Linked DNA regions of Stegostoma tigrinum. The protein of the gene in region 2 binds, or shares a complex with, the protein of the main gene of each other region. Links are inferred from orthologs where the notes say so. Each region holds a gene or a part of one and is shown on either strand. Other genes may lie near its edges. The genes, in order: rnf113a, snrpe, prpf3 and lsm4.

What was found.
Region 1: snrpe (region 2) and rnf113a share a complex: the UniProt entries of both Homo sapiens proteins name them as parts of the minor spliceosome. The link is inferred for Stegostoma tigrinum from reciprocal best matches to the Homo sapiens genes SNRPE and RNF113A.
Region 3: snrpe (region 2) and prpf3 share a complex: the UniProt entries of both Homo sapiens proteins name them as parts of the U4/U6-U5 tri-snRNP complex. The link is inferred for Stegostoma tigrinum from reciprocal best matches to the Homo sapiens genes SNRPE and PRPF3.
Region 4: snrpe (region 2) and lsm4 share a complex: the UniProt entries of both Homo sapiens proteins name them as parts of the U4/U6-U5 tri-snRNP complex. The link is inferred for Stegostoma tigrinum from reciprocal best matches to the Homo sapiens genes SNRPE and LSM4.

Annotation. Positions count from the first base shown.
Region 1 is NC_081384.1:39,857,921-39,865,278, forward strand, and holds the start of rnf113a (E3 ubiquitin-protein ligase RNF113A), read left to right. Parts: upstream 1-4,214; 5' UTR 4,215-4,248; coding exon 4,249-4,360; intron 4,361-7,358. UniProt on the Homo sapiens protein: Required for pre-mRNA splicing as component of the spliceosome. As a component of the minor spliceosome, involved in the splicing of U12-type introns in pre-mRNAs. E3 ubiquitin-protein ligase that catalyzes the transfer of ubiquitin onto target proteins.
Region 2 is NC_081374.1:11,214,253-11,222,134, reverse strand, and holds the start of snrpe (small nuclear ribonucleoprotein E), read left to right. Parts: upstream 1-4,417; 5' UTR 4,418-4,532; coding exon 4,533-4,586; intron 4,587-6,918; coding exon 6,919-6,945; intron 6,946-7,268; coding exon 7,269-7,331; intron 7,332-7,882. UniProt on the Homo sapiens protein: Plays a role in pre-mRNA splicing as a core component of the spliceosomal U1, U2, U4 and U5 small nuclear ribonucleoproteins (snRNPs), the building blocks of the spliceosome.
Region 3 is NC_081400.1:2,578,901-2,587,199, forward strand, and holds the start of prpf3 (U4/U6 small nuclear ribonucleoprotein Prp3), read left to right. Parts: upstream 1-5,224; 5' UTR 5,225-5,296; intron 5,297-5,351; exon of another isoform or gene 5,352-5,457; intron 5,458-8,299. UniProt on the Homo sapiens protein: Plays a role in pre-mRNA splicing as component of the U4/U6-U5 tri-snRNP complex that is involved in spliceosome assembly, and as component of the precatalytic spliceosome (spliceosome B complex).
Region 4 is NC_081383.1:1,023,111-1,030,547, forward strand, and holds the start of lsm4 (U6 snRNA-associated Sm-like protein LSm4), read left to right. Parts: upstream 1-4,198; 5' UTR 4,199-4,208; coding exon of another isoform or gene 4,209-4,211; 5' UTR 4,212-4,276; coding exon 4,277-4,294; exon of another isoform or gene 4,295-4,326; intron 4,327-5,907; coding exon 5,908-5,949; intron 5,950-7,437. UniProt on the Homo sapiens protein: Plays a role in pre-mRNA splicing as component of the U4/U6-U5 tri-snRNP complex that is involved in spliceosome assembly, and as component of the precatalytic spliceosome (spliceosome B complex).

The DNA.
Region 1 (7,358 bases), on a different chromosome or scaffold from region 2:
TGCTAAAAATTGCCAGACAACGGGAAATCTTTACCAATCAACTGAGGTCTGCATGTGAACAACTTCACTTCCTCCACAAACATCTCAGGAACCAGGTACTGCCCCACAGCGTGAAATACAAACCTCCACTCAACAAACCACAGGATATAAAATAGCTGAATAGAATGGATGCAGAATGCTATGTGTAATGATTAATGATGCCCATAACCAACTCCAAAGGTACGAATGAGAAATTGTGCACCAAAAATCACAGTATCTAAACTCAATGGACCAACAATGGACTACACCTAGAACAGGCCATCACCATCAATCAACACAAAACCAAAACTAAGAATGGACACAAGCTGCAGGAGAAACTGACCAAACTGACTCCTCACAAAAAGGACAACAACAAACCAAATGCATGGAGAAGAAACCTATCTAACAGACAACTCACAGAAACGGAGAAAGCTGTCCTACTACGCGGACTGAACTATAACCACAAAAGATGCGAACAGAACAGGCTTCATGGCTGCCCTGGAGAATACATTAAAAGACAACAGCCTCAGGGAGGAAACACAACAAGCCCTGGGTGCTCTGGTGTAGTGGTCAGTACTCTGGTTTCTGAGCCCTGCGATCCAAGTTCAAGTCTGGGTGCAGCCTATTTCCTGCCCCGGTTAGGGTTCAGCCTCAGGCAGTCTCATTTTTGTCATTGCAAGTCCGAGAATTGAAGAGGGCTGATTTTGGGCGGCACGGTGGCTCAGTGGTTAGCACTGCAGCCTCACAGCATCAGGGACCTGGGTTCGATTCCTGCCTTGGGCGACTGTCTGTGTGGAGTTTGCACATTCTCCCCGTGTCTGCGTGGGTTTCCTCCGGGTGCTCCGATTTCCTCCCACAGTCCAAAGATGTGCAGGTTAGGTGGATCGGCCATGATAAATTGCCCGTAGTGTTCAGGGGTGTGTAGGTTATGGGGGGATGGGTCTGGGTGGGATGCTCCAAGGGGCAGTGTGGACTTGTTGGGCCAAAGAGCCTGTTTCCACACTGTAGGGAATCTAATCTAAAAAAGCCATCCGACAAACTATAAATCGCCACACTACACAGAAGGAACAAAGGGGACAACCTGAACACAACAGAGAGAAAAGCACTATATAAACTCAGGAAAGTCAAGAACATCATAATCCTAGCAGAGAAAGGATGCATGACCATTATCATGAACAACCAGAGATAATGGGAACTGCAGATGCTGAAGAATCCAAGATAACAAAGTGTGGAGCTGGATGAACACAGCAGGCCCAGCAGCATCTCAGGAAGATTCTGCTTGGCTTGCTGTGTTCATCCAGCTCTACACTTTGTTATCATAAACAACCAGACTACGTTAAGAATGCTAAGACACTGCTTGCAGATACAACCACTTACCAACAGGTGGCGATAGACCCAACACCACAGCTCAGTAATCGGATCAGCCAGGCACTGAAGCTACTAATGAATGCAGGGCAGATAACCAAGACAGACTTCATGAGAATGAAACCAGCAGGCACAAACACCCCCTCCCTCTTCTATGGACTCCCTAACGTACATAAACCAGACATCCCTCTCAGACCCACTGTTTCCTGACCAAGACACCTTCACATAAACTGGCCAAAAACCTACAACAGAGATTGAAACACTTAGTAGATAGATCACCTCATTCTATTCACACAACACAAGATGTCCTTGATACCCTCAAAAACATAAAAATCAGCGACTAGATTATGGTATCCTTTGGCGTCACAGCTTTATTCACATCAATTGACATCCCACTAGCCGAAGAAACAGCGCCCATATTACTAGAGGAAATAGCAACACAGACCAGTAGCTCCATCAACAAGGACAACATCATCTTCCAACACTTCTGCCATCTGCAATCCGACCCCACCACCAAAGACATTTTTCCCTCCCCACTCTTATCTACTTTCTGGAGGAACCACTCACTCCATGACTCCCTTGTCTGGTCTACACTCCCCTCCAGCCCCACTACACCCGGCACTTTTCCCTGCAACCACAGGAAGTGCTACACCTGCCCCTACCCTCCCCCCTCACCCCCATCCTAGGCCCCAAGGAAACCTTGCACATTAAGCAGATGTTCACCTGCACATTTGCCAATGTGGTATACTGCATCCGCTGTTCCAGATGTGGCCTCCTCTACATCGGGGAAACCAAGCGGAGGCTTGGGGACCGCTTTGAGGAACACCTATGCTCAGATCACAATAAACAACTGCACCTCCCAGTCGCGAACCATTTCAACAACCCTTCCCATTCCTTAGACGACATGTCCATCATGGGCCTCCTGCAGTGCCATAATGATGCCACCCGAAGGTTGCAGGAACAGCACCTCATATTTCACTTGGGAACTCCACAGCCCAATGGTATCAATGTGGACTTCACAAGCTTCAAAATCTCCCCTCCCCCTACCGCATCCCAACACCAGCCCAGCTTATCCCCGCCTCCCTAGCCTGTCCTGCCTCCCTCCTATCCATTCCTCCCACCTCAAGCCCCACCCCCACCTCCTACCTACTAGCCTCATCCCGCCCCCTTGACCTGTCCATCCTCCCTGGACTGACTTATCCTCTTCCTAATTCCCCACCTACACTCACCTTTACTGGCTCCTCCTCCACCTCTTTGACCTGTCTGTCTCCTCTCTACCTATCTCCTCCTTTATCCATCTTCTTTCCACCTCCCTCTCTCTCCCTATTTATTTCAGAATCCCCTTGCCCTTCCCCATTTCTGAAAAAGGGTCTAGGCCCGAAACGTCAGCCTTCCTGCTCCTCTGATGCCTGCTGCGTTCATCCAGCTCTACACCTTGTTATCTCAGATTCTCCAGCATCTGCAGTTCCTACTAACTCTAGCTAAGTGGAGGGTTGAGGTCATAACACATAATAGCAGAAGGAGGCCATTCAGCCCATCAAGTTGGCTCTGCCATTTGATGAGGACATGGCTGATCTGACAATCCTCATCTCCATTTTCCTGCCTTACTAATTAAACATCTACCTCTACTTAACAATCTAACTGTGAATAATTTCACAAGAGCAGTTCCATTGAATGTAAATTCCAACATCCGCTATGGCAGACTTTGAACCCACATCCCTACATTACCTGAGTTTCTGGATCCAAATTGATATCATTAGGCTATTGCCTCCCTCACTGGTTTCTCTTTTTCAATTTAAATATTTAAAGAAGTGCTTGTTCTTCATCTTTTGTTACTTGCATGTTTACCCTCAGTTTATCTTCTTCCTTCTTGCTATTTTTTGGTTTTCTTTTGATGATGTTTAAAACTTTCCCGATCCTCTGACTTAACATTAATCTTTACCAGATTGTATTTTTTTCTTTCATGGGGTAGTGGTAGCTGAGACTCATTGACTGGAAAGATATTCAAGCCTGAAATTCTGGTAATATTTAAGAAAGATACCCCTCATTAATGGTGTTGTAGGTCTACGTACAGCACATAGACTGCAGTGGTTCAAGAATGCACAGCACCACCAAGTTCTCAGCGGCGACTAGGGGCAGGCAATAAATGCTGACACAGCCAACGATGCCTACATCCTATGGATTTTTTTTAAAATTAGATGACTTAGGTCTGAATATATATGTCCTGAAGTGTAACTGAGCATTCAAGAGTGCACAAATTTGAGTTTAAGTTTAAACAATGAGTTTGGTTATGGCGAAAAGGCAGGAGATTGGCACTGAATTAAAATATTCAGAGAGCCAGTCAGACACAATGGCCGTCTTCTGCACAAAAACAATTCTCCTCCTCACCTACACACCTTTACTGGCTCCATCCCTGGCTCCTTGACTTGTCTGTCTCCTCCCCACCTACCTTCTCCTCTATCCATCTTCTATCCACCTCCCCCTCTCTCCCTATTTGTTTCAGAACCCTCTTCCCCTCCCCCATTTCTGAAGAAGGGTTTAGGCCCGAACTTCCGGCTCCTCTAACGCTGCTTGACCTGCTGTGTTCATCCACATTCACTCCGCATTATCTCGGATTCTCCAGCATCTGCAGTTCCTCCTATCTCAATCATTTAATTTCACTCCATTCTGTGAATAACAGAAGTCACAGAGGACAGTGTCGTTCCGAGCCACCAGGGGCCGCTGTGTGCAGTGCCGTCGAGGCCACTGGGGGCCGCTGTGTGCAATGCAGCTCTGAACCACTTGGGGCCGCTGTGGGTATTCCCACATGGAGCCACCAGGGGCTGCACGGGCTCCGCTTGCTGCTGATGTTGTATTGTTGTTAAGATGGCGGAGTCCGGGGAAGCGGGGAAGACGGCCCCGGTCTGTACTTTCCTCTTTAAAAAATCTAGCAGGAAATTTAAAGGAAGGAAGCGGAGGGCGAGCGCTAGTGACAAAGGTATTGACCTGGAGGGAGGAAGGGGCCGCATTCTCCGGCTGTGTCTCCGCTCGGGCTTAAAACGGAGCGCAGTTCTCACCAGGCGCCGTTTCATGCAGCTCGGAAACAGACCATTCAGCCCAACCAGTCCGTGCTGCCCGTAATCCCAAAGTAAACCAGTCCCACCTGCCTGTTCCTGGCACATATCCCTTCAAACATTTCCTGTTCATATACTTATCGAAATGTCTTTTGAACATTGTAATTGTCCCCACATCCTCAGGAGATTCATTCCACAAGCGAACCACTCTCTGTTTGTAAAGAAATTGTTTTTTTTAAAAAATCCTTCTCGTCTCACCTTTAAAAATGTGCCACCTGGTCCCGAAATCCCCCACCCTAGGGAGAAGACACCTGCCATTCACCTTATTTACGTCCCCTCGTGATTTTATAAAACCTCTATAAAGTCACCCCTGAATCTCCTACCCTCCAGGGGAAAGAGTCCCAGCCTTTCCAGGTTTCATCCTCAACAACAAATCGCACTGATTAAAGTGCATTCTAATGTGGTGATGCTAAATTCAACAAACCCGCTTGCTGTCCTGGGTTTATCTCCAAGCCCCTCAATGAGGAAGATTGATTTGACAAAAGATCTTTGACAGAGGTAAAGTAATTTGCATTTAAGTACCACCTTTCAAGACCACAGGCTTTTTTCCTTCAGCATCAAGGCTAATAAATTACTGGAATTCACTGTTGTAAAATCGGAAGCACTGAGGCTGGAGTCTGGGCGGGGGGGATGCATATGCACAGGAAAATCTCCACACACGGCATTTTGTAATAAACTGATAATAAACAGATCAACTGTTTCAGTAACATTAATTTAGCGAGGGGCCTATGTTGGTCAGGAATCCGGGGAGAATAACTTTGCTGTTCCTCTCATAGTGCAGAGGAACCTATTGTCTTTCCCTGAGAGCTTAGACACCTAGAATTTAATGTTTTGTCGGAAAGACAAAGTGACAAAGTTAATATTGGCCTTCTTTTGGAATCACAGTTTAATGTTGACTTACAGTGGCAGACATTCCAGTTTCTCTTGTTAAGGTTATATTTTAGTGCTCGTGAGAGTTTCGCCACTGCTTTAATTTAGTTTCTAGGTATTTACATCCAAGATGGTCAGAATCCTCTGTTACGAGCTTTTGCTCAGTGCAGACGATGCTGCTTTATCACAAGATGAAGGCAGCAACAGGAGAAATGGAATCTTCTCTGAGAATTGAGTGTGTGTCTTCCCTAGTGTTCAGCCAGCCGAAGGTCATTTTGTGTGTTGTGTGAAAATAGAAAGCACTGGAGAAACTCAACAAGTCTGGCAGCATCTGTGGAGAGAGAAACACTGTTAACTGTTCCAGTTCTGCGTGACGTGTTTGTAATGTGAAGAAGAATCATACTCACTTAAAAATTAATTATTTACCTCCCCAGACTGCTGAGTTTATCAAGTGCTGTTTATTTTTATTTCTGATCTCCAGCATCTACAGTATTTTGCTCCTATATAAATGTGTGCAAGCAAATTACAGAATATTTACCAGACTGATATCTGCAATTGGGGATGTTGGCTTATGTGGAAAAGTTTGACAGGATAACCTTTTGTTTCCTGGAGTTGAAATTAAGAGGCAACTTGATGGAAATGCACAAGATTGTAAGCACCTGAGGGATGTGGAAAAGATGTTTTCTCTTCTGGGAGAAACTGGAATTAAGAGCAACTATTTAAAAATGAGGTCTTGACCATTTAAAGGAGAGGTGAAGTGAAATTTGTTTTGAGGGTTGTGTGTGTTTGGAACTCTGTTGCCACACCTTTTCAGGAAGAATCTTCTGAATATTTTTAAGGCAAAATTAGATAATCTTTCCTGGTTTACCAAGAATCTATCAGGGTAGGTGAGAATGTGAACTTGTGGTTTTGATCTTTTTGAATGGCGAACCAAATTCAAGGGCCCACAGGCCTGCTGTTCCTTGTTCATATGTTAAAGTTGGAGACTTGCCATCATGTATTATGCAAGCAGGTGTAGATCATTCAGCCCCTTCAGTCCACATCACCACTCAGTAAGAACAAGGCTGATCTGGTGTGGCCGCACTCCAGTTTCTTGTTTGTCCCTTGTAGTTTAAGAATTTATCTGGTACAACCTTGAATGTATTCAATGACCCAGCCTCCACTGCGCACTGTAGAAGAAAGTTCCAAAGATTACTCCTCCTTTTCAAGAAGATATTTCTCCACTTCTCCATCTTAAATGGGAGACACTTCGTTTTTAAACTCTGCCCACTAGTTGTAAATTCTGCCACAGGGGGAAACATTTTCTTAGCCTCTTACTCTGCCAGGTGCCTTCAGAATCTTATACAGTTCAATAAGATCACCTCTTAGTGCTCAAACCTCCTCAGCCTTACCTCACAACAGAACTTCTTCATCCCAGGAATCAACTTAATGAACCTTCTCTGAACGTCTTTAAATGCAAGCACTTGACTCCCTAAGTAAGGAAACAAAACTGTGTACAGTCCTCTTGGTGTGATTTCATATCTGCATTCTGTACAGTTGAAGCAACACTTCCTCCTGTATCTGGAAGGGCACCGGATCCTTCCTTACAACAGTCTGCATTGTCCCTCCGATTTGGATAATCATCTGCTTTTCTACCCTTCTCACGAAGTGGGCATTTTTCCACAATATGCTCCATTTGCTACAGTTTGCTGTTCATTTAACCTACCTATATCCTTATACAGATTCTTTGTACCCACCTCACAATTCGCTTTCCTACCTGTCTTTGTATTATGAGCAAATTTAACTACAATACAGTTGTTCTCTGCATCCAAGTCCTTAAGTAGATTGTAAATAGTTGAAGGCTCAGCACCAATCCCTATTACACTCCACTGTCTACAGTTTGTCACATTGAAAGTAACCTATTTATTCAGTTGTATTTTGGTAGTTAGCCGGTTTTGTATCCACACTAATTATCACCTTCAACACCATGAACTTCTGTCTTATGTCATAACT
Region 2 (7,882 bases):
CAGATGCTGGAGAATCCAAGAAAGCAAGTTATAGAGCTGGATGAACACAGTAGGCCAAGCAGCATCATAGGAGCAAGGAGGCTGATGTTTCCTGCTCCTCTGATACTGCTTGGCCTGCTGTGTTCATCCAGCTCTACACCTTGTTACCTCGACCTGATAGATCTGCTTCATTACATGATTGGTGCCTGATCAGCTGTGAAGAAATTTTCTGTTCTTCGATCTGAGTAATAGTGAACAGTCATTTGTCTGAAAAATACAATGTCATTTCCCAGTGGTTGACTTCAGGATCACTGCATGTGGCAACTTTTAAGTCTGTACATGACACAAATTTGAGAAAGGTCGTAAACAAACTTATGGACTGGCGAAATGGGCAGATGTATGGTGGATGATATTTAACATATGAAGGTGAATTATTACATTTTGGTCAAAAGAAATACAAAGGCCAATTCAGGAACAGAAATTTGGACTGTCCATACATGTCTTTGAAAATAAAAAGCACAGAAAGCTATTAAAAAGACATGGAATTCTTTGCTTTATGAAAATGTCTTCTGCTCACAAACAGGCCCAGCTGGACTATTGAGTCTAATTCCATGGGCCGCATTATAGGAAGGAGATCTAGGCTTTCGGTGCAGAGGATCTTAATTAGTTTGATACCAGGGATGGAGAAATTAAACAAAATGTGAATTCAGTAAAGTCATTTATAACACCATGAAATATTTTGCTAGAATAACAGTAGGGGGACGCTTGATAACCGATCTAAAGTAACTGGTGAAAGAATCAGTAGTGACGGAAGGAGAAAAATTTAAAATACTGTGATTTATGTTCTATAATACACTATCTGAAAGGGTAAAGCTGGCACACTACAAACTTCCAAAAGAGAACTGGATATATGTGGGAAAGACTAGAGGGGTAGGATCAACTAAATAGCTTCCAACAACCTGAACACCTACCTTGTTGAACCTGACTACCCCCACCAGTTGCAGGGCATGCAGATTCACATTGGACTGCTAAGTCACCTCAGGATGCACAAATCAAAGCTGGAATAGCCCTCTGGAAATCAAGCCCTGCTAAAAGTTAAAAATGTTATCATAAGTTTCCAATTTTCCTGTCTGATCAACTCGTTGACAGAAAACATGAGCCAAACTCTCTACATAATGGGCTACTATTTTTTAGAATTGAATAGTTGTTTGTCTGTGGAGAGAATCAATGAAAAGCTGACATATAACTCTACTCTCTGATGAAGGGTCTAGGCCCAAAACGTCTGCTTTTGTGCTCCTGAGATGCTCCTTGGCCTGCTGTGTTCATCCAGCGTCACATTGTATCATCTTGGATTCTCCAGCATCTGCAGTTCCCATTATCTCTGATATAACTCTACTAACCGTTTTAATAAACACCTCCTACATACACATACATGCAAACAAAAATGACAGGTCTGGATGAAAGGGGATTGAATATTGGTGAAACAGTTCAAGGGCACCTATCTTCAGGACTCAATGGAGGAGTTCACTTTGTTTCCCAAGTCCTTTAGTTTTCTGAATTTATCCTTTAGGTTTTTCACTCCTTTATGGGAGGCACAGAGTGACTGATTCACAAATTAAAAGGTGTTTACCTTATTGGTTAAAAGCAATAGCTTATAGCAACTAATGAGATAAAGAAAAATGGCTTTCCTTAGCTTCAGGTATTTTACCGGCGAGAAACACACCACCTCCTCTTCCAGAGGTCTAATGGTTTCTCACTACTTGCTCAATGTAATAGTCAACCACAAATTGACCGGCATCCATAAACCAATCTGGTAGTTGTTAGGTCAATGATATTTAGCATCCATAACCGGTCGCAATTCCACAAACCAATCAGTTACTTGTCGCAGGCCAAAATCTTTGTACATGTGCCATTGTGCCACGCTATCTATTGACACCCTCCTTGAATGCACGCAAAGCAACAGTGTATCCATGACTTAAGACAGGTTCAGTAACTTGCTTTTAAAAGTATAGCAGTTTCTTCCTCAGTTGTTTGATGTAAAATAGTTCCCATTTCAATCCACAATCAAATATAATGTAACCTAAAAAGATAATCTCTTACATTACTGAGTAGAAAGAAATCATCCTTGGTCTCAAGGGTCTGGTTGAGAGGAAGTTTCGTTTTCTGAACAGTCAGGTTGAATTCAAATGTTTATCTGCTTTCTTACCACATGTGCTGTCATACCTGCTTATTTTCTCCAACACTTTTTGTTGCGTGAACAGCAGACCAAAATTGCAACGATGTCACAAAGTTACACATCACTGAATGTAAATAGCACATTGAGGGCATGGTTAGAACACAATGTATTACACCTCATTATACTACACTAGATTAGAACTTTAGAGTCTGGAAAGCATATGGACATGGACACAACAAAGATTAGTCCTTACCTAACATAATAATTCAGAGCCTTATTTATCTATGATTAGCATAAACAGCAGCATTTAACATGTAATGAACACGGAAATATAGAAAATAGCACAAAAGGCTATTGGGGTCTTTGAACCTGCTCTGGCATTCAGTATGATCAATAGTGTTGATCTGAAGTCTAAGTCTCAAATAGTCCTAGGCGTTGCCTTGTCTTCAATCAGTCTATGAAGAATACAGCGTTAATGGTGAGGCATCGAACCAGACAATAAGGAAGTGCTGATGATAAAACAAGACACATTTTGTCAGAAGTTTTCTTCTTGCACTCATTGAGAAGAAACATTAATTCCATGGGAAAACCAACATTCATCTGTTTGGGAGGAGGGTGCTAAAGGATGGATACATTGGCAAAGAAATTAATGCAACAAATAACTATCAGCTACAGTTAACTGCCAGCCACGGTTTAAATTTTAAACCAGATAGGTTGAAAGAATAAATATCTGTAAATGTTAGTTCAGTTTCCCTGGCCCCACTAAAAAAAAACAGATAATGCTGTTAATGAGAGATAATGGGAACTGCAGATGCTGGAGAATTCCAAGATAATAAAATGTGAGGCTGGATAAACACAGCAGGACAAGCAGCATCTCAGGAGCACAAAAGCTGACGTTTCGGGCCTAGACCCTTCATCACAGAGGGGGATGGGGTGAGGGAACTGGAATAAATAGGGAGAGAGGGGGAGGCGGACCGAAGATGGAGAGTAAAGAAGATAGGTGGAGAGGAGAGTATAGGTGGGGAGGGGATGGGTCAGTCCAGGGAAGACGGACAGGTCAAGGAGGTGGGATGAGGTTAGTAGGTAGGAGATGGAGGTGCGGCTGGGGTGGGAGGAAGGGATGGGTGATAGTAAGAACAGGTTAGGGAGGCAGAGACAGGTTGGACTGGTTTTGGGATGCAGTGGGTGGAGGGGAAGAGCTGGGCTGGTTGTGTGGTGCAGTGGGGGGAGGGGACGAACTGGGCTGGATTTGGGATGCGGTGGGGGAAGGGGAGATTTTGAAGCTGGTGAAGTCCACATTGATACCATTGGGCTGCAGGGTTCCCAAGCGGAATATGAGTTGCTGTTCCTGCAACCTTTGGGTGGCATCATTGTGGCACTGCAGGAGGCCCATGATGGACATGTCATCTAAAGAATGGGAGGGGGAGTGGAAATGGTTTGCGACTGGGAGGTGCAGTTGTTTATTGCGAACCGAGCGGAGGTGTTCTGCAAAGCGATCCCCAAGCCTCCGCTTGGTTTCCCCAATGTAGAGGAAGCCACACCGGGTACAGTGGATGCCTCCTGCAGTGCCACAATGATGCCACCCGAAGGTTGCAGGAACAGCAACTCATATTCCGCTTGGGAACCCTGCAGCCCAATGGCATCAATGTGGACTTCACCAGCTTCAAAATCTCCCCTTCCCCTACCGCATCCCAAAACCAGCCCAGTTTGTCCCCTCCCCGCACTGCACCACACAACCAGCCCAGCTCTTCCCCCCCACCCACTGCATCCCAAAACCAGCCCAGCCTGTTTCTGCCTCCCTAACCTGTTCTTCCTCTCACCCATCCCTTCCTCCCACACCAAGCCGCACCTCCATTTCCTACCTACTAACCTCATCCCACCTCCTTGACCTGTCCGTTTTCCCTGGACTGACCTATCCCCTCCCTACCTCCCCACCTACACTCTCTCCACCTATCTTCTTTACTCTCCATCTTCGGTCCGCCTCCCCCGCTCTCCCTATTTATTCCAGAACCCTCTCCCCATCCCTCTCTCTGATGAAGGGTCTAGGCCCGAAACGTCAGCTTTTGTGCTCCTGAGATGCTGCTTGGCCTGCTGTGTTCATCCAGCTTCACACTTTGTTATCTTGGATTCTCCAGCATCTGCAGTTCCCATTGTCACTGCTCTTAGTATCAGATGCCGCCTCCACGTTACCATAGCAGCAAGGGCCCCGCCTCCTCGTTACCATAGCAGCGGGGGCCCGCCTCTTCCCGAACGCGCCGCGCCGTGCTGGGGAAGGTCAGAGGTCACGGTGCGTGAAGCGGGAGCCGCCATTTTGTCTCCATTTTCTTTTTGTGTTTTCCCCCCTTCTTGAGGCGGTCGCCGGGTCGGAGCCGAAGTCATGGCGTACCGCGGGCAGGCGCAGAAAGTGCAGAAAGTGATGGTGCAGCCCATTGTATCCTTTCGGCGGGTGGGGAGGTGTTCGGATCTGAGGAGGGAGGGAGGGAGGGAGGATCGGCCCGTGACTGGGCGCCCCGGGCTCGGGCCTGAACCCGAGACTCCGGACCGGATCCTGTGCCCAGGCTTGCACCCGGCCTCGGGGCCTACACCCTGCCTGCCTCTCTTCTCTTGCCTTCCCTTCTCTCTCTTTCTTTCCCTGTCTGTCTCTGAGGCCTCCTCCCTGGGTCTATCCACCGTGCGATGGACGGCGAGCGGCTCCTCACAACAAGCTCCATGTGCCGCCCGCCTTCGTGCTCAGCCCCATTGAACAACGGCTTTTTAAATCGTTTTGTTTTAAAGTTATGGTCGTCCCGTGTTTTGTGGAGCCTCGGGCTGAGAGGGCCCGTTACCCTTGGGAAGTCAGAACAATGAGAGACGACCTTATTAAAATCTATGGGATTTTTGGCGTATTTGACAGGGAAGATGCAGAAAAGGTTGTATTAACTTGTGGGAAAGTCAAGGAGCATAGGGTATAACCTCTCACCGTAAGGGGTCGTACATTTGAGACAGAGATGAGGAGGAATTTCTCCAAGATGGCAGTGAATCTGTAGAATTCTTTATAGCAGAGAACTATGCAGTCTGTGGCATTGAGTGTACTAGAGATTGAGAAAGATTTTTAATCGGGCAAGGAAATCCAGGGTAACCGGGGTAAAGGCAGCATAACAAAGTTGAGGAAGGATCACTCGATCTGAAACACTAACTTTGATTTTTCTCTGCAGATTCTGCCAGACCTGTGAGCTTTTTCAGCAGTTTGTTTCTGTTGCTGAAGGTTCTCACATCAGCCATGCTCTCGTTTAATGGCAGAATTGTCATTGGGCTGGATAGCCTATTTCTGCTCTTGTCTTGTGGGAATTGTTCAAATTAGTGAATTGATGCAGCATGGTTTGTTGAGGTGGGGTTTTCAGCAGCGTAAGGCAATCGCTCAGCGGTTTTCTGTGGAGGGCCCTCACCAAATATGGTTGACATATAAGTAGCACCTTTAACATAGTATAAAACCAGGCCGCTTTACAGGAGCGTTACTGGACAAAATTTGTGTCCATGACATTTGACATATTTGGTTAACTGGCAAACTCCTTGTGAAAGAGGTAGACTTTGTGGTGTGTCAGAACGGGGAGAGTGCAGGGAAGTGGAGTTGAAATGCTGATCAGCCATGATTTAAATGGCAGCGTAGACTCGATGGGCCGAATGGCCTTACTTCCACTCCTATGTATTATGGTCTTGTAGAAAGGAGGAAAGTGAAGTAGGAATACAAGACTCTTGAGCAGCTGAATATGTGCAGTCATAAATAGCAATATAACCATAATTAAGGATGCTCAAGAGGCTCGAATCAGATGAGGGCAGACATTTGTACGGTTGAGCAAGATTACCTGCAGGAACTTTATAACAAGGATGAAAGTTTTCACATTGCAACATTTGTTTGACCAGGAGTTTTAATAAATTGATTGAATGTAGGATTGGTGGATTGAATGCATTATACAAACCTTTGAATTGAAGTTAAATACTACAGGATAAATTAAGTATAGTTGCTATGCATCATTTTGAATCTAGTTTATTATACTACCATTGTGAATCTCAATATTTGTAAGAGCAATTTTTGGTATAATAGTGTTATCCTGTTGTTATATCCTTGCTCAAGTGAAGGTACCAAGTGCACGTTATTGCAATGTTGCTGTATTCACAGGAGAATTTTGAATGTGGGCTTGGGAGCCTTATTGGGTGGAAACTTTTGTAAACATACTGAATCTAAACTATCAGGCAAATTAGATTTGGTCATTATACATGTGCACAGTCTCAGATGCGAATGTCACCTAGGTAGTGGAATAGCTGTCAGTACAAATTTGGAAGAACTGTTTCAGTGATCTTTGTAAGAGCTAGGCATGGACGTGACTTCGGTATTTAATTTTAAAGGCTAAGGAGAGAAATTCCACTGGAGTTTATCTTTCCTGATCCTCCAGGAAGTGCATTCTAGACACACTAGTTTGTGAATGTGGGATGAGGATAACATTGAGTTTATGATGGTGTGCAGTTGAATAGATTGTAGATAATTACTTGAGCGACATAATTAATGGCCATTTTAGAAAAGACGCCAATGTTCATGTCTATCAATAAACACATCAATACTGTAGCTGTAAACGGTTTTGAGGTAGGTATTATGCATCATTTTTTCATTAGATTGGTGACCATACCACAGACTGGTTATAGATAGCATGTGAGGGATACGCAGATCTTATAATGGAGATGTTCATTATATAATTTATAAATGTTGTCCTTAACTGAACGTGCAACAGAATCTTATTTTCAGGTACCTTCAGAATGTAAGTAAAGCTGTTTACTTTTAATATTTTACATAATTAATCATCATGGTAATGGTGTTTATCATACCTGTTAAGTGAATGCAGTTTATTAATGACTTTGCTGCAGTAATTCAGCAAAGGGCTGATTAAATCTCAACTTAATTGCAGCTCTCTTACTAAGTCAGAAGTCATGAGTTCATACCCACTCCAGAGACCTGAACACAGTCTTTTCTGACTCTAATACATGACTGAGGGAGCATTGCACAGCTTAGAGGCACTGTTTTATTCAAACTCGTTGGAAATAATTTGTTTCTGACTTGAATTACCTTTTTCCTTTACTCTAGAGATCCAGGATCCAAGTATGGTTATATGAACAAGTCAACATGAGGATAGAAGGCTGTATAATTGTAAGTATGAAAATTAGCCTGGAGTTCTGATGTGCAGTTAATTGACTTTTCACAATTCAGTCAGGCTGCTTTGGCTGACAGTTGACCAGCAAACCTGAAGTTGCATCAAGTGAATGCAGTCATCTGTTGTTTTCTGTAAGTGTGATTCCAGTTATGTTTGCAGTCTACCATTTCTTGTGGAAACTGGTAAAAGATAGAGTGATAACAAAGTGTGAAGCTGGATGAACACAGCAGGTCAAACAGCATCTCAGGAGCACAAAAGCTGACGCTTCGGGCCTAGACCCTTCATCCGATGAAGGGTCTCGGCCCGAAACGTCAGCTTTTGTGCTCCTGAGATGCTGCTTGGCCTGCTGTGTTCATCCAGCTTCACACTTTGTTATCTTGGATTCTCCAGCATCTGCAGTTCCCATTATCTCTGATCACAAGATAGAGTGACGGTGGTTTAACCTCTTACCCACTTTAATAATGCACACATAATCCCTAACCTCAAGACAAGCTATGAAACAATGCAGCCTTTAAAGGATTAACTTGATCTGCTTTTGGAGTTGTCT
Region 3 (8,299 bases), on a different chromosome or scaffold from region 2:
TGCATAGATAGGGTTGACAGGCAGAATCTTTTTCCCCAGATTTGAAGTGATGAAAACTAGGGGGCATGTATTTAAGATGCAAATGAGAAGTTCAAAGGAGGTGTGAGGGGCATTTTTTTTAGACACAGACAGCGCTAGTAGTTTAGAACATGCTGCCGGGGTGGTGGAGGCAAATACAATAGGGCCATCTAAAGGACTTTTAAATAAGCACATGAATATGCAAGGAATGGGGGGGGGGGTGAGCGCGATATGGACAACGAGCAGACAGAAAGAGTGAATTTAATTTGCAGCCATGTTCGGAAGAACGTTGTGGGCTGAAGGGCCCATTCCTGTGCTGTACTGTTCTATGCTCTAAAATGTATTTACCACAAAGGTCAGTGCTGAGGGAGTGGGCACTGTCGGAGGGTCAGTGCTGAGGGAGTGGGCACTGTTGAAGGGTCGATACTGAGGGAGCGGGTACTGTTGGAGGGTTAGTTCTGAGGAAGCGGGCACTGTTGGAGAGTCAGTGCTGAGGGAGTGAGCACTGTTGGAGGGTCAACACTGAGGGAGTGGGCACTGTTGGAGTGTTAGTTCTGAGGAAGCGGGCACTGTTGGAGAGTCAGTGCTGAGGGAGTGGGCACTGTGGGACAGTCAGTGTTGAGGGAATGGGCACTGTCAGAGGGTCAGTGCTGAGGGAGCGGGCACTGTAGGAGGGTCAGCGCTGAGGGAGTGCTGCACTGTTGGAGGGTCAGCGCTGAGGGAATGGGCACTGTTGGAGGGTCAACACTGAGGGAGTGGGCACTGTTGGAGGGTTAGTTCTGAGGAAGCGGGCACTGTTGGAGAGTCAGTGCTGAGGGAGTGGGCACTGTGGGACAGTCAGTGTTGAGGGAATGGGCACTGTCAGAGGGTCAGTGCTGAGGGAGCAGGCACTGAAGGAGGCTCAGTACTGAGGGAGCGGGCACTGTCGGAGGCTCAGTACTGAGGGAGCGGGCACTGTCGGAGGGTCAGTGCTGAGGGAGTGGGTACTGTCGGAGGCTCAGTGCTGAGGGAGCTGCACTGTTGGAGGGTCAGAGCTGAGGGAGTGCTGCACTATTGGAGGGTCAGCACTGAGGGAGCGGCACTGTTGGAGGGTCAGTGCCGAGGGAGCGGCACTGTTGGAGGGTCAGTGCTGAGGGAGCGGGCACTGTCAGAGGCTCAGTGCTGAGGGAGTTGTCACTGTCGGAGGGTCAGTGCTGACAGAACCTCGTGCCAGTCTGTTGTCTGGTTCCAGGACCTGGGGTGAGGGGGTGCTTTGCTGATGAGGCTGTCAAATCTCAACCTGGGTGCCGTGTGGTCAGGGTTCTGTGGGGACAGATCTCCTTGGCAGATTCAGACAGTCCCTCACCTCCATCCCAAGTAACCACATTCCACATTAACTAGGCCTCCCTCAAGTCTGGAAGAAATGGGAACGGGGTGGATGGGATGGATGATAGGGGAAAGGCAGGGGAGATAATGGGTGGGGGAAAGGGAGGGGGAAAAGAGATGTAGGAACTGGAGAGGCATTGAAGGGGAGGGGAGAGGCTAAAACTGACAGAGGGGGAAGTGGTGAAGGTGGAAGGGGGGCAGGATGGGGATTTTGGGGAGAAGGGATGGAGATGAGCAGCAGAAGGAATGGGGGGGTGCATGAGGAATGGGAAGGACGTTGGAAAGGTGAGGGGAAGGGTTGGAGAGGAGGGACAAGGTGGGGGTGAAAGGAAGGTGGGAGTGAGTTGAAATCGATGCAGCAGGATGGTGAAAGGTAGCAGGGAGTGTGGAAGTGAGTGGGGTGGCGGAATGGGAGAGGGATGGGGTAGGGAATGGGGATGGGGGTCTTAAAGGGGGGTGGAATGGGATAGAGGGGGTAAATGGATGAGGGATAGGGATAAAGAGGGAGGGTTTGGAGGTGCCCAAAGGGTGGGTGAAGCAAGAGAGGGTGGTATTCAGCCCCTCAGGCCTGTTATGCAGTGTCGTAAGAGTCTTTTCACTTTTCTGTATTTTTATTAGTGGACTGAAATGAGAGAAGAACTCTTTTAAAACCAAGGATTGCTGAAAGGCTACTGTTATGCTCTTTGAAAGCAAGCAACCTGACACTTATTGGAAGTGTTTCAGAGACAGAAGGAAGTGCCGATGCTGGAGAATCCGAGATAACAAGGTGCAGAGCTGGATGAACACCACAAGCCAATTAGCATCAGAGGAGCAGGAAAGCTGACATTTGGGTTTAGACCCTTCGGTCCTGACCCGAAATGTCAGCTTTCCTGCTCCTCTGATGCTGCTTGGTCTGCTGTCTTCGTCCAGCTCTACACCTTGTTTTCTCTCATTGGAAGTACTGTTTGCACAGCTGCTGGTTCAAACAGGAGGAGGAGAAGGTGCAGACACAGCACAGGCAATGGTGTATACAAATGGAGATACAGCTGGCCACAAGTCTGTCAACTAGTGTCCAGTTATCAATGACAAAGATCTGCGATTGGTTCTCAAGTAGCTGAACTGCTTGAGGTTGTGAACAAGACATGGTGAGAGGCCATCTGATCTCCACCAGCTCAGGAATTATTTTTGTTCTCTTTCAGCCTCCAGATAAATTCTTCTTCTTACCAGGGAGGCTTTTACACGTCTCTGAAAGTACTTTTTCTTTGATCTCCACCATCAAATCACCCATTAAACCAAAGAAAAAGTTTATTTATTAGATAGGATTCATTTCATAGAAACCCTACAGTGTGGAAGCAGGCCATTTGGCTCATCGAGGCCACACCAACCTTTTGAACAGCATCCAACCCAGACACAAACCCTGCCCTATCCCTGTAACCCTGCTTTTCCCATGGCTAATCCCTCTAAGCCTGCATATCCCTGGACACTATGGGCAACTTAGTGCGGCCAATCCACCCAGCCTGCACATCTTTGGCCTGTGGGAAGAAACCCACGCAGACACAGGAATAATGTGCAAACTCCATACAGCCCAAGGCTAGGTCCCTGGCGCTGTGAGGCAGCAGTGCTGATCACTGAATCACCGTACTGTCCTTCAGCAGTGCAGTATGCTGCGAATTTTAAGTAAAGAATCAGAGACCATCTTTAAGTGAACCAGCTTCCTTCAAATCAGTGAAAACCTCCAGTAAAGGAAGATTGAGAAACAGCGTTCTGATCAGCACAAGAACCATCCCAGCAGGTCCTGTGAACAGAGAGCACGAAACTGTTTTCTCAGTTTTCCTTCCATCCAAAACACTCATTTTTTCCCCCAAATTTGTGCTTAGAGGGGTTTATAAGTGGATTTAGAGTTTTAATTAGTAGTTAATTTTTATTCCTCTTTTGGTATCTAAGATTTAATAAAGTACCTTTATTACCTAAGATGGTGCCACAAGAGGCAACATTGAACACTTTTCACTGTTCTTCTATACTTTAGTACACATGACAATAAAATCTAATTCTATTTGTTGATGGTTCAAAATTGTTTACCTGTAGTTAGAGTCTATTTACTTCTAATATATAGTCATATTCTTGTTAAATATGGAAACCTGGTCTGTTCTTTCTGTCAACCTGGGAGTAAAGGTCAGGTAAATTGGAGAATTTGGCATATGTTTTAAAATCTTTAGCTTTTGTGATGACCCCAGAAGAGTGAGGCTTGATTTCTAGCATGCTACCCAGTGAGGTGTAACAACTGGAATAGGAAGAAGTCACTGAGATCCTCTGTTCTGACATTTAATGCGAACGTGACTGATCTGCATTTATTAACTTCATCCACATGCATCCATTTTCCTACATACACAAACAATTTCAAAATTTCAATGAAGCATTCTTAGGGCCCTTGGCGTGGTCATTAACTTTGCAATGGCACTTACTAAAAAGAGTGCAAATTCAGTAACTCAAATCTCTGATACTTTATTCCCACTGGATGAAAGATGGCCTAGTGGACTGTAAGGCTCATCTTCAGATACGTCAGTTGCAAATCCTGGGATTTTCGGTAAATGATGCAGCAGATGTGGAATCTACACAGGTGCAAGGAAAGAAACCAAATTGGGAAGAATCTGAAAATTCCAGCTTTGTCAGGGATGCTCTAGATCAGGTTCAGATTCCTGGTGAAATTCTGTTTTTTGGTAGGTGTGAGATTCCAGGAATTTTCAGATCTTCCAAATTCTTTCTCAAAAGGCTCACTGTAAACCCATTCGTGAATCTATTCAAGTTTGATGGAACTTCTTGAATCCTGGATTCAAACTTAGGAATCCTGATACACCTTCTCTGTGAGATTCTGGGGTAATTTTTGTTTTCAGGGTTGTCAAATTCCCCCACATCTGGGCATTTCCTTGCATGCCTGGACGTTTGTTTCACAGTTGCTAAATTTGCAGCAAAGCTCTGGAATTTTCTGGAATGATCCAGACCTTCCCTGCAACTGATCTTGTAGAGTTCTGGGTACTCGCTTGGAATTTTCAGGAGCCATTTGGTTGCAATCTTCTGGGACAATCTGGGGTACTCCTGGGGACGATTTGTGAAAATTTCCATAATGTTCTGACGCTTCCCTGGAACTGATCTTGTAAAGGTATTCCCCTGGAATATCCTGTAACAATCCAGGCCTTTCCCTGGAAATTATCTCCTTGAGTTTCAACGTTCCCCAGGAATATTCTGTATATTTCCCTGGAACTGATCTTTTGAGAATTCCCATCTTCCCCTGGAATAGTCAGGAACATTCTGGGGCCACGGAATATTCCAGAACTTTCTGTTGACTGTGTCCAGCCTGGTTCTACTCCGAATTCCGATTTATACATGGAGTTAGGTGTGTTGGAACTTTCCAGAACTCACCAGAGCATTCCTCTGGATCTGTATCTGAAATTATTTTACGGTACATTTCCATCCTTTCTCCAGGAATGCTTTTGTTTGGGGAGGGAGACTATTTTTCTGTTTCTTTCTGTTTGGAAAGGCTGGATCCCGCTCTGGAATGTTCTAGAACACGCTAGGCCTTTGCCCCTGTGATGTTCTAGTACAATTCTGGGACAATGTCCTTCTTACACCACCCCAGATTCCTCTGTTTTTTTCCAAAACATCGTGGCTGGGGTTTGTCGAAAACAACACACGTTCCCCCCAAACGGTCCTTTGTGATGTTCTAGAAGCGTCTGGAAAGTTCGGGGCAACCCTCTGGCGCCTTCCCGCGGTCAGGAGGACGAAGCGGAACCTTTCTTCTCCCGCCGCCCCCAGTCTTCCCCAAAACAGATGCATCGCGCCCAATCGGGGAGTGCATTCGTTGTTACACTCGGCCCCGGACGGTTTTGAGTGTGGCGCCAGCGGACTTCCGGTGAGGCCGGTGTGCTGTGCCGAAAAGGTACGAGGGAGCTGGCGGGGAGGGGAACGAAGGGGGAAGGTTGAGGAGGGGGGCACCGGCTTCCGGGTCCGGGAGGACGGTTGAGCCGGGGACACCGGTTTCCGGTTCCCGACCCCTTTTCTCTCACTCCCCGTCTGTTCGCGGGACAGTCGTCGCAGCGGGTGAGTGAGGCCTGAGGCCTGCGGCCTGCGCCTGTTGTGTCGGGGGGGGGGGGGGCAGTAGGCTTGGCGCGGGGTAGTATCCACCATCGCCATCCTCACATCATTAACAGCCTCAATGTGGCACTCGGACGAGGTCCTGGGGCCTTTGCCCTCCCATTACACCCCCCCCCACTCCATCCCCTAACCCCAACGCCCTCCCCTCCTCACTCCACTCCCCCTCCCCCCTCCCCACTCCACTCCACCCCCCCTCCTCCCCACTCCACTCCACCCCCCCTTCCCTCCCCATCCCCCTGGCCCACCCCACCTTCTAATCCCCCCCCCCCCCGACCGTGTGGTCCCCTATTACCACCACCACTACTCTCCCCGACCCCTCCAGCCCTTCCTCCTGCTCTCCCTCTCTTCATCCCCTTCTCCCCCCCACCCCCCACCCACCCCCCCACCCCCACCCCCACCCCCCCACCCCCACCCCCCCACCCCCACCCCCCCACCCCAACCCCCCCACCCCAACCCCCCCACCCCACCCCCACCCCCCCACCCCACCCCCACCCCCACCACCCCAACCACCCCCACCACCCCCACCCTGCTGCTCCCTCCAGACTTGAAGGAGGGGCTGGGTTAGTGTGGGATATGGCTAGATGGGGATGGTGGTGAAAGACTGTCTGAATCTACCGAAGAGATCTGCGCCCCATTGATCCCTCCACTCCAGGGCACCTGGAGGGGGTGGGGGTGACGGTGGTGATCTGGCACCCTCATCAGCAAAACACCGCACATGCACACGCGCGCACGCACACACACACACCCGTGAGTCAGACTGGCACCAACCACCGGTTCCCTCAGCACTGCTCCTCCGATAGTGCAACGCTCCCTCAGTGCTGATGCTCTGTCAATCACCTGCCAGGACCTGTATTATTCTTTGGTCCTGAGAGCTCCCAGTCGCAGGATGAAGATTATGGGTTCCAACCTAATTTTGAAATGAATTTCAGCATAGAATTCAACACCGTCCTTGTGACGAGAGAGCGGCCTGTTGCTGTAGAACATGAGAGATCCTGTTGTGCTGTCTACATTAAAATGTCAATTCCTGTGAGCTGACCCATCATTGTCCCTGATCAGAACTCCCATGTGCTAACCCTACTCCCAATCTCCCGCACAAGTGTCTTCACATATTCTGTCATTGACATTTGATGAGTGGTTCTACATTGGTGGTGGAGTAAAGGTGGTTGACCAGCTGGCTTTCAGTAAACACTGACGGCCAGTGACCCTGACTAACTGCTCCCTCCTGCCCTCTTGTAGCCATGACGTAATTGGCCAGAAGCTCTTCCAGGCACAAGACGAATTGATGAAAACCAAGTTTGATTAATGCCTACCTCCCACCATGCATTCACAATCATTTCGTTGATCAACCAGTTGTGGAATCATTCAGGCTGGTTTTTGATCTTGTATTATACAGGGTTAACTAATAACTTTATAGGGTATCTGAGGAAGAGTGATCGTAACATGGTCATGACACTGGGAATAATTTTGTTAAGTCATAACCTAGGGTCTGAAGAGGGTTATTGGACTCACACGTTAATGACATTTTCTGCCCATAGATGTTGCTAGCCCTGCTGAGTTTCTGTTAATTTCTACATTTGAATTAGGCTCTTAAGTCTGAGCAAGGTGAACGGTGTACAAAGGCAAATTTGACCTCAACAGATTGGAACAAAATCATGATCCAAAATCAAAATGTTGCAGATGTGGGAAATCACTGATAAAAACAGAAAATACTAGAAGCTCTCAGTAGGCACGTTGGCATTCGAAGGAAACTGTTACAAAATCCATGATGTATTAAAAGATATTTAAATTTTATATATAATTTGTGGTAAATACATTTTAGAACATAGAACAGTACAGCACAGGAATGGGCCCTTCAGCCCACAACGTTCTTCCGAACATGACTGCAAATTAAATTCACTCTTTCTGTCTGCTCGTTGTCCATATCGCGCTCCCCCCCCCATTCCTTGCATATTCATGTGCTTATTTAAAAGTCCTTTAGATGGCCCTATTGTATTTGCCTCCACCACCCCAGCAGCATGTTCTAAACTACTAGCGCTGTCTGTGTCTAAAAAAAATGCCCCTCACACCTCCTTTGAACTTCTCATTTGCATCTTAAATACATGCCCCCTAGTTTTCATCACTTCAAATCTGGGGAAAAAGATTCTGCCTGTCAACCCTATCTATGCATCTCATAATTTAAAAGACTTCTATCAAGTCTGCCCTTGCTCTCTGGAGCAGTGGAAATTAATCTGAGTTTTTCTAGCCTCTCCTTATAGCTCATATCCTCTCATCCAGCTAGCATCCAGGTAAACCTCTTCATAGCCTCCACATCCTTCCTGTAATGTGGAATAACTACCAAACAGGATAAGCAGTCAAACCACATGATGTTATAAGGTTTGGTACAGATTAAATGACGTGTATCAAGTTGAGAATTGGGAGGACTTTAGAATTCAGCAAAAAATGACAAAAATAATTGATGGAGGAGATTGCATGTGTAATTGTAGAAAAATGAAAAGAGCCTTCTGTAAATATATAAAATGGAACCAGCTGTTGAAAGTAAACGTGGGGAACAAGGAAACAGCAGCGACATCAAGCACAGGTTTTGTGTCTGTCAGCCATGGCAAGTGGAAAGAGTCTGACCCCTGACTTGGGAGGCTGGGATCAAGTTCCCTTCTCCTCTCCAATGTGAGCACAAATACGCTGCAGTGTGTTCACCAGTAGGCTGAGTAAAAAAAGTGTTGGGTATTTGGATTTTCATAAAGCATTTGATTAAAGTGCCACGTATGAGTCAATTACTGTAAAGCAGGAT
Region 4 (7,437 bases), on a different chromosome or scaffold from region 2:
TAGATTGTGTCTGCAGCAGGTGGTGAGGGAACCAACAAGAGGGAAAAAAAAACATACTTGACCTCATCCTTACCAATCTGGCAGCTGCAGTTAAAACTGTTCATGGCAGTATCGGTAACAGTGACCATCGCATAGTCCTTGTGGAGATGAAGTCCCACCTTCACGTTGAGGATAACCTCCATCATGTTCTAAATGGGACAGATTTCACACAGATCTAGCAACTCAGAATTGGGCAACCATGAGGTGCTGTGAGCCATCAACAACAAAGGAATTGCACTCCAGCACAATCTGTAACCTCATGGCCCGGCATATCCCCAGTCAACCATTACCAACAGGCCAGGGATCAACCCTGGCTCAATGGAGGGTGCAGGAGGACAGGCCAGGAGCAGCAGCAGGCATACCTGAAGATGAGGTATCGACCTGGTGAAGCCACCAAACAGGGCTACTTGCATGCCAAACAGTGAAAGCAGCAAGTGATGGATGGACCTAAGCAATCCCACAACCAACGGATCAGATCTAAGCTCTGCAGAGCTAGAAGTCCATCCCTGAGAGCATTATGGGTCAACCTACAGCAGGAGGACTGCAGCAGTTCAAGGCCACCTAGGAATGGGCAAGACATGCTGGCCAACCAGCGACACCCATATCCCGTAAATGAAGAGAAACAAAATGGTCCTCAGAATGAGGGACTTTCGTTTGTGGAGTAGAGAAGCAGAAAAGCTCAAGGAGATTAAATAGAGATGTTCATATTGGGTTTTGATGGAATAAATAAGGAGAAGTTGTTTCCAGTGCAGGAGGTTAGGCAACCAAAGGGTCACATTCAAAGTAATTGGCAAAAGAATCAGAGGGGAAGATGAGAACATTATTTTCGTTACAGTTGCAACATGGAATGTGCTTTTAAAAAGCTAGTGTAAACAGACTCCAACGTAATGTTTGTCACAGTACAAATAAATACCTGAAAATTAAAGATAACAAAGTGTGGAGCTGGATGAACACAGCAGGCCAAGCAGCATCTGAGGAGCATAAAAGCTGACGTTTCAGGCCTAGATCCTTCATCACCCTTTTCTGATGAAGGGTCTAGGCCCGAAACATCAGCTTTTGTGCTCCTGAGATGCTGCTTGGCCTGCTGTGTTCATCCAGCTCCACACTTTGTTAACCTGGATTCTCCAGCATCTGCAGTTCCCGTTATCTCTGGTCAGAAAATTAAATATTTGCAAGGCTGTGAGGCCTTGAACAATCTGGACAGCTCCTCAAAGACCTGGAAGTGCTATGATGGGCTGAATGGCCTCTATTTGTTCTGAGTTTCTACAGTTGGTGCTCCAGGACTTTTTACTACACCTGAAAGTGTGATATAATTGCAAGTTGTCATTGAGTAAGAATGTGGAGAAAAGCTTGTGCAATGCTCCCTAAGGTTTCATTGGCACCTGCCCTGAGCAAACAATCCTGGAAGGTACCACCTCTAGCAAGTGCCTTTGGGACAGGAAGAAAGCATTAATACAACATAGATATAGAAGGAACTGTCGATGCTGGAGAATCTGAGATAACACAGTGTGAAGCTGGATGAACACAGCAGGCCAAGCAGCATCAGAGGAGCAGGAAAGCTAATTCTGTTTTACTAACGTGTGTTTGGGAATTAAAGACTACCAACAAGTTGTATTTAGTATGTTTAATCACATGAAACACTTCAAGGCACTTAAATTTACAGGAGCAGTGTTGGGAAAATGATGGCCTTGTGGTATTAGCACTAGACTATTCATGCAGAAACTGAATGCTCTGAGAATCCAGGATCAAATCCCATGGTGAAATTTAAAATGCATTTTTAAAAAGTCTTAAATTAAGGGCCGACTGATGACTATGAAACCGTTGCCAATTCTTGGGCAAAAACCCACCTGGCTCGGTAATGCCTTTTAAGGAAAGAAACTGTCATCCTTTCCTGGTCTGGCTTATGTGTGGCCTTGGACCCAGAGCAATGTGGTTGACTCTGGGCAAACAGGGATGGGCAATAAATGCTGCCCTTCCAAGGTTGCCCTCATCCTGTGAGTGATTTTTAAAAACAAAAAATTATACTATCATATGTAGAAATATTTTAAGGCCGGATGACCTACAGCTTTTGGTCAGAGTTCCTTTTAACTCAAACACAAAACAAGGGCTGGGCCAGCATTTAAAGAGTAATTTAACGTGGGAGAGTGGTCAAGAGACAGGGAAGCATTTCCAGAGCTCACAGGTTAAACAAACAGCGATGGGATTATGTCAGAAATCACACAGCAGCAGGTTCTGGTGCAACAGGTTTATTTGAGCCTCAGTCCTTCAGACGTTAGTGAAAGAGGTAGCATCAAACACAGAATTTATAAGAGATCAAAGATCACACCACTGTTCAGGATCTATTAGACAAACCGCATGCTGCTAAATCTTCAATCAGTTCAGAGGGTTTATAATATGTACATATTATATATTTCCATATCAGTATACATACACAGACGAAATCTTTAGTCAGTTAGGTTTTAGCCGGGGGGGGGGGAAGCAGGGAGGAGGGGACCGGGGGGGAGGGGGGTGCGGGGGGGGGGAGGGGGGTGCGGGGGGGGGGAGGGGGGTGCGGGGGGGGGAGGGGGGTGCGGGGGGGTGGACAGGGGTGCGGGGGGGGGGAGAGGGGTGCGGGGGGGGGGAAGAGGGGTGCGGGGGGGGAAGAGGGGTGCGGGGGGGGAAGAGGGGTGCGGGGGGGGAGAGGGGTGCGGGGGGGAAGAGGGGTGCGGGGGGGGGAAGAGGGGTGCGGGGGGGGGAAGAGGGGTGCGGGGGGGGAAGAGGGATGCGGGGGGGCGAAGAGGGGTGCGGGGGGGTGAAGAGGGGTGCGGGGGGGTGAAGAGGGGAACGGGGGGAAGAGGGGTGCGGGGGGGGAAGAGGGGTGCAGGGGGGAAAGAGGGTTGCGGGGGGGAAAGAGGGTTGCGGGGGGGGGGAGGGGTGCGGGGGGGAAGAGGGGTGCGGGGGGGGAAGAGGGGTGCGGGGGGGAAAGAGGGTTGCGGGGGGAGGTGGAGCAGGGGGCAGGGTGAGGTGGAGCGGGGGGAGGGGGCAGGGGAGGGGAGGGAAGCAGGAGGGGAACGGGGGGAGAGGAGCCGGGGTGGGGAGGGGGGAGCGAGGGGAACGGGGAGGGGGAGCGGGGGGGGGAGAGGGGAGCGGGGGGGGAGAGGGGAGCGGGGGGGGGAGAGGGGAGCGGGGGGGGGGAAGAGGGGAGCGGGGGGGGCGGGGGGGGAGAGCAGTGGGAGCAGGGGGAGTGGGGAGAGTGGAGCGGGGGGAGCGAGGGGAAGCGGGGGGGGGCAGGGGGGGGCAGGGGGGGGAGCCGGGAGCTGGGGGAAGGGGAACAGGAGGTGAGCGGGGGGAGAGGGGAGCAGGGGGAGAGGGGAGTGGGGAGCGGAGGCAGAGGGGAGCGGCGGCAGAGGGGAGCGGCGCGGGGGGGGAAGGGGGGAGCGGAGAGTGGGGGGGAGGGGAGAGCGGGGGGGGAGGGGAGAGAAGGGGGGAGGGGAGAGAAGGGGGGAGGGGAGAGAAGGGGGGAGGGGAGAGAAGGGGGGAGGGGAGGGAGAGAAGGGGGGGAGGGAGGGGAGAGAAGGGGGGGAGGGAGGGGAGAGAAGGGGGGGAGGGAGGGGAGAGAAGGGGGGGAGGGGCGGGGGGGGGCAAGGGGGGAGGGGCGGGGGGGGGCAAGGGGGGAGGGGCGGGGGGGGCAAGGGGGGAGGGGCGGGGGGGGCAAGGGGGGAGGGGCGGGGGGGGCAAGGGGGGGAGGGGCGGGGGGGGCAAGGGGGGGAGGGGCGGGGGGGCAAGGGGGGAGGGGCGGGGGGGGCAAGGGGGGAGGGGCGGGGGGGGGCAAGGGGGGAGGGGCGGGTGTGGGAAAGAGGGAGCTGGTTGGAGGGGGACGGCGGCAGATGGAGCCCGCGGGGGGAGGGGAGGCGGGATGGGGGGTGTGAGGTGGGGACGGGATTCGGCGCCAAGTGCTGGGCTGTTCCTCCTACGAAGGCCCCACTTTACGCCAACTATTGCGACAGCAACCTCAGTACGGGGCGCCACCTCTGGTCGCTGCCATCTCTGATTGGCTGTGTCTGTGGCCGCGGCTGCTGATTGGGGAAGACAACCCGTCCATCAGGCTGGCGGGGCGGGGCTAGGCCGGAGCCGTAAGTTGGGTTGTCGCAGCCGCGGCGGGAGGAGCGGGAACCAGAGACGGAGACAGAATGGTGAGGGTGAGGGCCGCAGGCTGAGCCTGAACAGGCTGCAGCATTGGACGCTGAGGGGTGACCTTATGGAGGCTTATAAACCCGTGAGAGTCATGTGTAACAGAGAATAGCCAAGGTGTTTCTCCGGGGGGTTTAAGGTGAAAGGTTTAAAGGTCTCGAATGTCAGCTTTTTCACACTGAGTGGGGTCTGAGGAAGTGGAGGAGGCTGGTACAGCCATAACATTTAAAAGGCATCTGGATGGGTACATGAATAGGAAGGGTTTAGTAGATAATGGGCCAAATGGGACTAGATTAATTTAGGATATCTGGTCAGCGATAGGCAAGTTTGATCGAAGGTAAGAGATAACAAGGTGTGGAGCTGGAGGAACACAGCAGGCCAAGTAGCATCAGAGGAGCAGGAAAGTTGACGTTTCGGGCTGAGACCCTTCTTCAGAAATGGGGGAGGGGAAGGGGATTCAGAAATAAATAGGGAGAGAGGGAGGCGGATAGAAGATGGATGGGGGAGAAGATAGGTGCAAAGGAGGCAGACAGGTCAAAGAGGTGGGGATGGAGCAAGTAAAGGTGAGTGTAGGTGGGGAGGTAGGGAGGGGATAGGTCAGTCCACGGAGGGACGGACAGGTCAAGGAGGTGGGATGAGGTTAGTAGGTAGCTGGGGGTGCGGCTTGGGGTGGGAGGAAGGGATGGGTGAGAGGAAGAACCGGTTAGGGAGGCAGAGACAGGTTGGACTGGTTTTGGGATGCAGTGGGTGGGGGGAAGAGCTGGGCTGGTTGTGTGGTGCAGTGGGGGGAGGGGACGAACTGGGCTGGCTTTGGGATGCAGTGGGGGAAGGGGAGATTTTGAAACTGGTGAAGTCCACATTGATACCATTAGGCTGCAGGGTTCCCAGGCGGAATATGAGTTGCTGTTCCTGCAACCTTCGGGTGGAATCATTGTGGCACTGCAGGAGGTCCATGATGGACATGTCATCTAGAGAATGGGAGGGGGAGTGGAAATGGTTTGCGACTGGGAAGTGCAGGTGTTTAGTGTGAACCGAGCGGAGGTGTTCTGCAAAGTGGTCCCCAAGCCTCCTGTTTCTGTGCTATGTATCTCTGTGACTCTAACGGGGGTTGTGGGGAAAAATGATTGAACGTGTCGTTATAGAGACATATGGGGGGGGGCGCGGTGGAGAAGGATGGTTGGTGAGGGAGGAGAGAATGAATCAGTCGGGAGAGCAGGTGAGAGGAGAGAAGATGTTGATGTTGAGCTTGGTGGGGTGGTGTGCTGTGTGGGTCTTAATTATACCGATATACCAGGACATTGTCGGGGAATGAGGGAAAGGGGCAATTGGGCAGGAATGTGAGAATGTGAAGAATATCCCTGACTCCCAGCCTCCCTTTGGTGTGGGGTGAAAGGAGGGAACCCATGTGCTGCTGCTTTTGTAATCTGAGCGCTGTTGATGGATTTCCCACTCTGAGACCTGTACAGTCAGTCCTAATTCTATCCCTTTCCAGCTTTAATCCTGGAGGCAAGGGTCGTGCTGATTGTAGCTGTACTTCCCCACCCATTTTAAAAGAGCTTTTGTTTTTAGTTTTTATATTTAGTTGTAACTCTTACGTTCTGATTTATAGTGGGGATGTTATCCACATTAGCAGTAATTGTTTTGACAAATTAAACTTTCTTCTCAGATTTAATCAAATGTTTTTCTTCTTTATTTCAGCTGCCCCTTTCATTACTTAAGACGGCACAGAATCATCCAATGGTAAGAGAGGCTGAGAGAATGCCTGCATTTTGCTCCATGATTGGTCCAGGCAGGGCTCCCACTTTGGCACATGGACTGTTTGAGCTCCTCAGTGATTCAAGCCTACACTTGTCGCTCCCTCAGCCAGCAGTCGTTTTTTTCCACCTGAGTGTTTGACAACTTGTGTTATTTTTAAAGAGTAAGTTAGCAATCATGGCAAGTAATTTTTATACTGAAATGCCTTAAACCCCCAGTCTCTGCCTGAGTGCTACTTCTCAGCTTTAATATAACTGAACAAGGGGACAAGTGTATGCTGTGGAGTCTGTCCCAGTATTCTATATTTGGCTAATTGTCGCCTTTGGACAGGTTTCATACATGTTTTTAGTGCCTCCCAGACAAGGGCCTTTGAACAGTCCCCTTAAATGTTTACACTTCTCAAAGTTAAGAAATATTCTGCCTTGACTTTTGTCTACCAAAGTGAATAGCTTAAATTATTGACATTATGTTCCAGCTGACACGTTCCACCCTGTGCACATAGCCTGTCCAAGTCCTCACGAAGCCTGTTTGCATTTCCACCTAATTTGGTGTAACGAGCAAATTTGGAAATATTACATCCAAATTACTTGTACAGACTATGAACAGTGTGGTCTTAGCACAGTACCCCAGTAACAACAGCCTCCCATCCTGAGATTTTTTCTGTTCACCAATTGTCAGATAATGAGGCAGTACATTTAATCATCAGTGACTTTAATGTTCATGTAGATTGGGAGAATCAAGTTGGCAAAGTGACAAAAAAACTTCATGATGTATTTGAAATTGAATCCACTTCTTCTTAGAAGCTAGCGGGGATCAGGCTTCTTCGGATCTGGTAATGTGAGTTGAGGCAGCATTAATAAATTAGCCCACAATAAAAGATACCTCCAGGAACAGTGATCGTAAAGCATTCAGTTTGGGTGCGAGAAATTTGTATCAGAAATGACTGTACTGAACTTGGGGGTAATTATATTAGAATGAGGACAGAGTTGGCTGGAGTGGTTTGGGAAAGAAGTTTAGCAGCAAAGGTGTTTGAAGAACAATGGCAGACATCTGAGAAGATAGTTCCTGGCTTTCAGCAAAGGTACTTAACCAGTAAAGGAGGAGGATTCCTGAAAGGGGTGTTATGAAGTTTTAGTAGAGTAATCGTGAGGTGGAAGGAAGGAAGCTAAAATATATTGTTCCTTGTGGTATATGATACAGTATAAGTGATTGTGGTGATGTTGTGTCTTCCTGCTGAGGCCTGTACCAGAGGTAATGGCGGATTATGCTTTTCGGATATCCATTTCTTTTGAAGGCACTGTATAGGTGCTTGTATTATACTTCGCGTTTTTCCATAGATCAAGGACATTTCAGAGATGACCACAAGAATACTCAGACCGCTAGGTATCAGAGTAGCCTACAAACCAACAACCGCCCTACAATAGTTACTGGTGAACGTAAAGATCCCATACCCAAAACCAGCAAGCCAATGTA